3 linked regions of the Xenopus tropicalis genome follow. The protein of the gene in region 1 interacts with the protein of each later gene in a pairwise test. Links are inferred from orthologs where the notes say so. Each region holds a gene or a part of one and is shown on either strand. Other genes may lie near its edges. The genes, in order: tceanc, csrnp1 and obi1.

Region 1 (2,331 bases):
TCCACTCTTCTTAGTAGCTGAGTAATATTAGTTTCTTTAAAGCCTTATAGCTTTAGGGCCCTATTTTATTGGGCAGCCTAAATGAATTGCATTTAAAAGTTCAGATATGTAAGGTCAGTTCATAAAAGAAAAACTTACTGAGAAAGAACTGAGAAACTTAAAAGACCAATATTTAAACACTTCAGCTAGAAAGAGATTTTTTATGTTGCCTTCTTTTTTCCCAACTGTAGAAATGCTACACAAAGACATTAATAAGGAGCTTGTTTCCAGAGCGTTAGAAGTGGAAAATCTTCTGGCTGAGAGAAAATATGAAGACCTTGCATTCCACCTTACTTACTTTGAAAAAGCAGAAGTCACATCAGGAATTCTGCAGGGTACTGATATTGTCAGAGTTGTTTACAGAGTTCTTAAGACCTGTCCAAGAGGAGCATTGAAATTAAAGGCAAAAGTTTTATTGTCCAAATGGAAAAAACTATATAGAAAGTGTTGCCATGAAACTAGCTGCATTTGTGAGCATTGTAGTAAAATATGTGAAAACAAAGAAGGTCCTGAGAAACTAGCTGTCGATATCCAAGATCAAGTTCACAACAGTGAACAAAAAATATTGATTAATAAAAGCACAAGTAGCCCATCTTCTTACAAATTCAATCTAAACAAATCCGATTCAAGCGCACAAGATTGTTATGGTAACCATGAGGAATCTGTTACAGACCATGAAGTTCCTAAGAAAGTAAACGCTGAAGATTTGGCTCTGAGAACCAAATGCACAGAGCTCTTATACCAAGCATTGAGAGAAGACTCGGAATGCCAAGAGAAACTGCAGAATTTAGCAAAGGCAATTGAAGAGAACATCTATAAAATACATGCTGGTAATACCAAGAAATACAGAAACTGCATCAGAAGCAAAATTTCCAATTTGAAAAATCCTAAAAATTCCCATTTAAAGATGCAGATTTTATCCAGAGCTTTAAGTCCTAAGGTATTTGCTGAGATGGGTGTTATGGAAATGGCCTGCGATGAATTAAGGAATCTTAGAGCAAACTACACTGAAACCTGTGTTCAGGAGCATCAGCTACCACAAGGAGTTGATGGTGTTCACACCAATAAGATCAGATGTCGGAGGTGTGATAAGTTTAACTGTACAGTAACAATGATATCTAGGGGGACACTTTTTCTTCCAGGTTGGGTACGAACAGGAAACCCTGATGAGGAGATGATGACATTTGTAATATGTAATGAATGTGGTGAACAATGGTACCACAATAGATGGGTCTGCCTATGAGTTTGCACATTGGACTTGAACTGTGTTTGGCTTTTTTTTTTCTAACAATAGGTAAATGATCAGGACATAAATTATTTATTTTAGTGAACAAGAACTAAGATTATTTTAAAACTTACTTTAAAACTGTTATGTCTACACTTATTTCAGAGTATAACCTTAAAAGTGTCTAATTTATTAATATACAACAGTGCCTCTTTGAATACCATAAGAATAAGAGTTAAAACAGTCTATCCTTGGCAAAGCATTTTTTTAACAAAACTGTCACAACAAATATCTATTTGTGATCAATATTTCATTCACTGAGAATTCCGTAGGGTACTGTGGCAGCCCCCTCAGACATGTATAATAAATGTAGAAATGGAGTATTATTATTATATCTATGGTGCCCAGACATTACTGATATGGGATTCTGTATTTAGTAAAAGTCGATTGAGATAGGGTCTTTGGGTCATTGCATTACAAGACAAAGCATATATTAATATTTAAAAAAACACCACCCATTTCCCAGGCCTCATAATTAATATCTGAATCATTTGTAACTAGATGTAACTAGAACAGTTATCCAGTAATCTGCTGGTCAGCAACTCAAAATCTGCTGGGTTACAACCTACCTTTTGGGCAGTACTGTGCTGTAAAAGGAATATTTAATTTTAATTTAAATAAACAATATACACTGTTAATATAAATTGGCAATATTACTATGAAAAGTAGAAGGTATAAAAAGACATAAAGAGATACATTTGCCACAGTAGACAAAAACAATTGAGCAAAAATCACACACTAAAGTAAATGTTTATTTGTTCAGATATCTGTTAGCTTTGGCTGAAAATCCTGCAGCCCAGTGATCACATTAGGCTGTGGGTGCCTATTTGCTCTGCACGGCTGCCCTCTTGTGATGCATTTAGATTTCCCTGAATTTTGCAGACCACTGCTGTTTTAAAGGCCAACATGCTGTCTTACCTGTATATGTCCAGCCTAAGGAATAAGTAAACTGTTAATAGACTGAGTTAATAGACCGGTATTAGCAGTATAAAACTGCTAATCTATTT
Region 2 (4,246 bases), on another chromosome or scaffold:
GTGACCCTGCTGTTGTTGAACAGTAACCCCCTCGGGTAGTGGGAGTTTTAGTCCAACATTGTCCAAGGATGTAGAAACCCATCAGAACATAAACAGGTCGGCCTGTACCATGAGTCACGGGGGTGCACGCCAAGTAGCTGCCAATTAAATCCACGGAAGCCTGGCGGATACGCAGGGAAGGGACAGCGTGGAAAAGGCCAGTTGCTACAACAATGAGCCCATCTCCTTTCCTGGAGAATTTCCCAAGAGCCGGGCAATGTACCCACTGCCGGAAACAAGCGGGGGGACCTGGGGGGGCACTATGTTCGCTGGCACCTGTACCCCTCTATTGCACCTGCCTGATGCAGCACATACCCAGATGCAGCACACAATCCCCCCCCTCCATAGATAAGAGCATTTCCCACAGAATACAATGCAGGGCAAGGAAGTGGGGGATGGAAGTAATGCAGAAGGCTGGGGGGGGGGGTTAATGGGGGGGAGGAGGAGGAGACGGTGTCTTCTGGCATCTCAGCCAATATGAGTGCAAGGGAGCGGGGGAATCGCCGGGACCCCTGCGGGGAAGTAGTTTAGCCCTCTGGTGCCTGGGAAATATCTGGGCGACTCTCAGCGCCAATAGCCAGGGCTCACGCGTTAATTACGAGGCAATTAGCAGCCAGTCACCTTAACGACACGGGATCCAATAAACACAACAACGGTAATCACAATGATCATAGTAATAATAATGAGATAATAATAATAATAATGAGCCGCACAAGGCAAGCGGCTCAATAAGTAGGAGAATAAAAGCTCATTAAAGGGGAAGTACAGCCCCATGCCAACCTTGGGACAAATACAGTAGAAAATAATACTCAGATATGGGAATTGCAGAATGCACCAGGGTTGGGAGGGGGATCCTTTTGCACTGCTCACTTCCTGTACAGATGGAACAGGAAGTGGGAAATTCACAGCTAAATATTCCCAGCAGATTTAGTTTTAGAAGTGAGCAGCCAAAGTTATAGCCTCAACGTTTGCTCATTTATTGTACTGTACAGCGCTGCGTACATAAGTAGCACTTTATAAATATAGATACACATACATTAGGACTATTAGCCACTTCAGCCATATGATGTTATGAACTACAAGTCCCAGAATCCCCCCCAAAAGCTCTGGGAATGTTAGTCCATATATCCATAGTCCTTATGCCATATATATCAGAACTTAATAACATTAATGACCACTAGGCAATCAGCTAGACAGCAATAGGCTTCAAGCCTTAGTCATCACTTTACAGCACTGCTGCAAACAGAAAAGTGACCTTCGGTCCCAATGAAACTGGCTGCCAAGCAATACCCTGTACTTTCATAGTAACTCAGGTGTTGGCCTTGGGGGGGGGGGGGGGGGTGATACAACTGGAATACACAAGGAGGTGCCAAAATAGGTGGTTATATCCCCTTCAGGCCCATGTTGCAGTGCATTGTGGTCAGGCCAAACGTGTCAAGTCCAGTGAGTGCTCTTAATGGATTAATGCCCCGGTGTGGGGCAGCAGTAACACCCCTCTCTGTCCATTGTCAAACATAAGGGTAACTTCCAGCAAATTCTCCTGTGAGTCACAGCCAATCAGATGACCACCCCCCTTCCTTTCCACTTTTTGCCTAAAATCTGATTTAATTGTAAGCTCTTTAGGGCAGACAGTAGTATGAATGAGTGAGGCCTCACACACACACATCCTATCCACATACCATTGCCCAGAATGATGTAAATTAGTAAATTCCAACTTGTGCTTCCCATAGCACACAAACATAGAAAAGTGTTGATTGTAAAAGTTGCACAACAATAACCCAACATCTGAGACAGTAACTAGAAGCAGCAGCAGATTGGGGGGGGGGGGGGTGTTGTTTATAAGGCAGTATCAAAACAGCAGCCAGGCTGTAACCACAGAGCCATCTTATCAGGAAAGTACACACAAGCAAAGTGCAGGGCTGCCCAAACATTCACATGAGTAAGAGGAGACAGGGGGCAGCTCTGAAGGAGGGGGGGGGGGGTTACATACAATGGGCAGGGATTGGTTCAGTCAGAGCCACAGGGCTTCTATGTGTGTACCCAAACACTTAATATATCTAACAAGGTGCCCTGTCCAGCCCTGCCTGGCACTGTCCCCCAAACAGAAAAACAACCCCCCAAAACAGAACTCATCCAGCCCAATGGCAAATAAGAAAAATCGATACAGGTAGGAAAGCAGTGGGAATACCAAGCAGACCAACAGAACTGGATAGAATGTTTCCAGACAAGGGATAGAATGTTTCCAGACAAGAGATAGAATGTTTCCAGACAAGGGATAGAATGTTTCCAGACAAGGGATAGAATGTTTCCAGACAAGGGATAGAATGTTTCCAGACAAGGGATAGAATGTTTCCAGACAAGGGACAGAATGTTTCCAGACAAGGGACAGAATGTTTCCAGACAAGGGACAGAAGTTCCAGCTGACACTATTGAGCGCCAAACATTTAAAGAGCCCAGGGTGCAGTTCCTTAGTTCCAACACTAGAGGTCGCGCCTTCCCCGCTGAGCGGCGCTGCTCCGGCTGCCCGGGCTGTAGTATCAGTCAGTGTTACGGGCTGGAGCCTTTGTACCCAGCGCTGCACCCTCAGCCTCTCCCAGCGTCAGGCGCCCCTAGTGTGGGAAATAGAGCAAAGCACCCCTGCACCCCCCCAGGCACCGACCCCCTCTCAAACCCCTCTCCCCCATTCATAACTGCCCCGAACCCCGACTTGTGACTGTGCAGCCCCCCAGCCTGTGGCTCACCTTGCCCGGGCTCCTGCTGCACAATGGGGCGCTGGCGGCGCTAGTTGCTGCTCATAGTCCGGCGGTAGCGATGTGCTCCCTGCGCTGCTCCCCCAGCTCTGCCTGCCCGCACCGGGAGCTCTGCCTTTTTCGTCAGTGGAAAAACTCCTGGGCTGGTGACGCAGGCGGTGACAGGGAGCCAGACAGGCCGGGCAGCCAGTGAGTAACCCGGCCCTTCCCTCCGCCCCGGCCCGGCCCTCCGCCTCCTCCTTCCCCCCAGCCCACACTCTGCTTCCTGCGCTCCTTCTCCCATACACTGTGCCCCCTCCCCTGAGGCACAGGGATCGGCATGCTGCCTGCTACTGCTCCCCCATCATTCCTGCACAGCTGCACCTTCCCACTAATTAGCGGGACCCCCCCTGCCTGCTGCACCTTCCCATTAATTAGGGGGACCCCCCCTGCCTGCTGCACCTTCCCATTAATTAGGGGGACCCCCCCTGCCTGCTGCACCTTCCCATTAATTAGGGGGACCCCCCCTGCCTGCTGCACCTTCCCATTAATTAGGGGGACCCCCCCTGCCTGCTGCTCTGTGCCATTAATTAGGGGGACCCCCCCTGCCTGCTGCTCTGTCCCATTAATTAGGGGGACACACTGCCTGCTGCCAGCCATGTATTATAGGAAGCCCCCACACTCACTCACACCCTATTTATTATAGTGAACCCCATACTCATTGCCTATTTATTATAGGGGTCCCCAGATATATTACCCAATACTGCACCCTATTTATTATTGGGGTTCCCAGACACACTGCCCCCTACAACACCCTAATTATAATAAGACCCAAAAGACACTCTGCCTTCTGCACCCCATTTATAATAACCCCCCCCCCCCGCACACTGCTTGGTTATGTATCCCTTTATATCTTTATATTGGGACCCCCAGGCACACTGACTGTTACTGCATCTGATTTATAATAGGGGCTCCTAAACTCACTGCTTGCTCCTGTATCCCATTTATTATAGGGACCCCCAGACACACTGCCTTTATTAATAGGGACCCCCAGACACACTGCCTTTATTAATAGGGACCCCCAGACACACTGCCTTTATTAATAGGGACCCCCAGACACACTGCCTTTATTAATAGGGCCCCCCAGACACACTGCCTTTATTAATAGGGCCCCCCAGGCACACTGCCTTTATTAATAGGGCCCCCCAGGCACACTGCCTTTATTAATAGGGACCCCCAGGCACACTGCCTTTATTAATAGGGCCCCCCAGGCACACTGCCTTTATTAATAGGGCCCCCCAGGCACACTGCCTTTATTAATAGGGACCCCCAGGCACACTGCCTTTATTAATAGGGCCCCCCAGGCACACTGCCTTTATTAATAGGGCCCCCCAGACACACTGCCTTTATTAATAGGACCCCCCAGACACACTGCCTTTATTAATAGGGCCCCCCAGACACACTGCCTTTATTAATAG
Region 3 (3,916 bases), about 20 Mb from region 1:
TGTTGATTTTTTAACTACTTTTGTTAAGATATGCTTTGCTGCATAGGCTGGATCCAGCCAATCACTGCCTGATTTCTTTGGCCATGGACCAGCACTGGATAATGTTAGGTCAGCAGCCTTCCACCCAAATTACAGACTAATGTAACTAGGGGGAAGCAGTCTGTGTCATTACTGTGCCTTTCTGCTGACTCTCACTTGTCCCTTATACCATTCAGACACCAGTAGATATTCCCCTGCTTGCACTTGCTTAAGAGTCATAACTTCAGGCCAGAAATAATCAAGGCATTTTTATATCAAAAGAATGCAAAGTATTCACACTAAATATTTACAATATAGTTAGACCCATCATTTATGACATTTATTATTATTTCTTATGCTTATAAGTGCTGCTCATTTATTGGTCTTGTAAGTTTCACACACTGGTAGAAAAAAAGCACAGACTTCTTAAGATAATTTCACAAACATTAATTAAGAATGTTTCCCATTCTGATTTTAATTAAAGATATTAATGACTAAGCTGTAATTACCCTACAGACATAAATTATGCACATTTTCTATGATTTATTCACAGGGGGCTTTAAAACAATGGACATGCAAAAACTGATAGCATTTCTAATTCCTTATTTAGATTATAGCATGCATTGCCTTAATGTTTGTTTAAATGTTCTTAGAAAACATGAATTTGTTTATGGTTCTTCATCACCTTCCACTACTATGGATTATAATGAATGCACTGTGTAAATAAGTGTATTATTTATTTGCTAAAGTTCTGAATTCCTTTTGGATGTACAGATATTGTGGGCATGTCATCAGTGACAGTATGGTGAGGGAGTGCACCAAATGACTCCCTACTACAAAGGAACTACTCCTAACTAAGACATACTTTCAATGTTTAGAGCGGCTTATCAATTTTCAGAAGCATATATCCTAAAAACGCTTTTAAAACTTTTTTTTTTTTTTTTTTTTTAGATACATTTAAGTTTTGGGTGCTACATCTATAAAAATGTATATGTGTGAGTGTGTTACGTATCGCTTGTATATGAATATAATGGCAATGGGCATTGGCTTTTTATTGAAGTGTTCTATCAATGGATATTATGGAGGGGCATATTTAAGATTGCTTGGGTTTTTCGTCACAAGAAATCTTTAAGGAAGCTCCACGTGAGTTTACTAATCACCTGGTGTTTTGTGCCGAAAAAAGTTTGGCAATATCTGTAATTTTACCATAACAGGCTTTTAGAACAAAGAAAAACTTTGGCACATAAAAGCTGCCTCATCTTTCTATAAGCATGTATAGGCAAACTTCCGAAGATTGCCGAATATTTTCCGTCACAAAACCCAGCGTGATTAGAACACTCACACAGGGTTTCCTTTATGATTGCCTGAGCCTGAAGGCTCAGATAATCCTAAATGAGCCCCCCCTATGTGCAGTGCTAAATTATTAATACAATGCATTTCAATAAGCTGTTGAATCAGAATTAAATAACATTTAATCTCTTTTGTATTTTAGGTTTGGTAGATTTACAGTGGCTGCCCTCCATGCTAAGATTGACCAGTATGAAAAGGAAATGAACAGGCTAAAAAAAGCTCTTGAGAGAAGTGATAAGTACATAGAAGAACTGGAAGTGCAGGTGGACCAGTTGAAAAGGGCTGCAGATCTGAAACAGGATGAGAGCTCACAGAATGAAAATTCAGTCCATGATAAAGACACTGTAAATTCTGAAATAGGTTGTACAGAACTTTATGAAGGAGTGAAACTAGAACAAATGGGTGAGAAACCTGAAAAACATGACATAAATAAAGAGAATTCCAGCGATACATGCCCAGCTGCAAATAATGAAAAATCACATGTACACAGATCAGAATATCTTACGCAGACAGGGTGCTCCCTTAATTTTCAAAAGGAGCGTAAAATGTTTCTAAGTAGCGGTTCTGCCATGTGGAAGGAGAGCATGAAGGGTCCACATGATAATATCACATCACAAAATAAGCAAACGGAGACTTACACGCCAACTAAAGAAAAAGAAATCCATGAGTACAATAGTCCAAGCACATCGCTGTCTTTCAGCTCTCTTCAGCTAAACAGTCCGGACTGTAAATTGTCTCTTCCATCAAATCAAGTGAATGCAAAAAAACCCTTAACTTATCTTAGAAAATTAGTTTTTGAGGACTATCCTAAAAAAGGAAAACCAAATAGTTTTTCCAGTGCAAATAATAATATACCAAAACCTTTTAATGAACAAAAATCTGAATATATGACTTGTGAAGTCAAACATAAACATCAGAGAGGTAACCTAAAGGAAAGTGACATGCAATCAGAAGGCCAGATACTGCAAGCATTTTCTTTACCAAGCAGTGGTGAAGTGCATCACACCACAACCACCAGTGAAAGTCCCATGGATACTTTTTTACATAATGTCAACAATCTGGATTCCTTGATGTCAACATTGGAAGGCAATAAAAGCCTTCATTACCACAGTGTTACCGCTGATGCTGTCATGCATTTAAATTCACAGCCAGGGAATGGACTTCAAGCCTTTTTTTCAAATCCACATACTAGGGACGGACATTTTCCTCTTGAAAGTCAATCTTCCGATAAGTCTCACATCAATGATTTTCACACAAGTGGGAGGACTTCAAGTTTGGTGCTGCCTTTTAATGATATGCCACAGATTAAATATCAAAATACAACGGAGTCCTCTAATATTCTCACAAACTTAAATGCTTCAGAGCTAGCTAGTAATTCCTGTTGTACATCTTACACTAATAATAAGCATGGCCCTGCATCAAAACGAAAGCTCCTTAATACCATATGTGAAAGTCCACCTAAGACCATGAAGCCATAAATTTGTTTCTTTCATGGAAACATCATGGGAAGTAACTGTTTCATCATGCCAATAATACAGTACTTTATTTTTATCCTTGAAGGAAAATGTTAAAGCTTTAGCACATTTTTAAGCATTCCAAAAAGTTGCAATGAAATAATGTTTTTTGCAGATAAGAGACATTAGGCCAATGTATATAATTATCTATTACAATTACATATAGTCTGTGATATCGCCCTTGTTGTCTTTGGTGGTTAAATAATGGGAAATATAAAACTTTTGGTTTTTTGATTTCTCTGGCTATTTCTTTACCCACTTAGTATACTTCTCCCTCAAACCTCCTGGCATTGTGACCTGCTTTATCTTACTCTTGTTTCTAAGGCTGATGACATGGTGTGCTTTTCAGCCCATTGCCTCCTGCTGCTCCCATGTCAATGGAGCCCATAAAAGGTCTTTTTTGTTTGCGTGTGTTTCAGCCAGCTTAGAAACATCATATGTGCCATTTTTTTTTCACCTTTGGCATTTTTATTCACATTACATATCAACAAGTTTAATTAAACAAAAACAATGCTTTCTTTCAAGTTTTCACTCCTTTAAAGTACGCAGGTATTTAAAGTGTCAAGCTATTGCAAGAAATTAGTTCTTGCTATAACATCTTAAACTGAGTATAGTAAAGGTTCATTTTATTGCGAGTGACCTTATTAAGGGACACATTTCTGTCCAATATCTCATTCCAAAATTAAAGATATAGCACGTGCTCCTATTGGTTTTATAACAGGTTTGCCACTGGTTGTAAAATATTGATGGTGTGATTTGCCTCCATTCAGGCCAGACTTACAGTTCATTTTCTGTGTGTATTAGTAAAGTACTTCCTCTCACATCTTAGCCAATTCTGTGTACACCTCACTTTATGCACGGTGGCATTCTGTTGCTGAAACAGAAAAAAAACCCTCTCCCAAACTATTGCCACTAAGTAGAAAGCACAGAATTGTTACAATGTTGTTCTGTATGACATAATGTTAAGGTTTACTGTAACTTGCCCCAGGCAATTATCTCTTCTCCACCAAACTTTACATTCAAAATAAGATATT

Evidence for each region.
Region 2: the proteins of tceanc (region 1) and csrnp1 interact in binary tests that used the Homo sapiens proteins (3 or more experiments, as listed by UniProt). The two-hybrid records come from large-scale screens. The link is inferred for Xenopus tropicalis from reciprocal best matches to the Homo sapiens genes TCEANC and CSRNP1.
Region 3: the proteins of tceanc (region 1) and obi1 interact in binary tests that used the Homo sapiens proteins (3 or more experiments, as listed by UniProt). The two-hybrid records come from large-scale screens. The link is inferred for Xenopus tropicalis from reciprocal best matches to the Homo sapiens genes TCEANC and OBI1.

What each region holds. Positions count from the first base shown.
Region 1 is NC_030678.2:105,787,241-105,789,571, reverse strand, and holds the end of tceanc (transcription elongation factor A N-terminal and central domain-containing protein), read left to right. Parts: intron 1-230; 5' UTR 231-232; coding exon 233-1,282; 3' UTR 1,283-1,773; downstream 1,774-2,331.
Region 2 is NC_030682.2:13,330,425-13,334,670, reverse strand, and holds the start of csrnp1 (cysteine/serine-rich nuclear protein 1), read right to left. Parts: upstream 2,871-4,246; 5' UTR 2,781-2,870; intron 1-2,780. UniProt on the Homo sapiens protein: Binds to the consensus sequence 5'-AGAGTG-3' and has transcriptional activator activity. May have a tumor-suppressor function. May play a role in apoptosis.
Region 3 is NC_030678.2:125,575,035-125,578,950, forward strand, and holds the end of obi1 (ORC ubiquitin ligase 1), read left to right. Parts: intron 1-1,510; coding exon 1,511-2,846; 3' UTR 2,847-3,376; downstream 3,377-3,916. UniProt on the Homo sapiens protein: E3 ubiquitin ligase essential for DNA replication origin activation during S phase.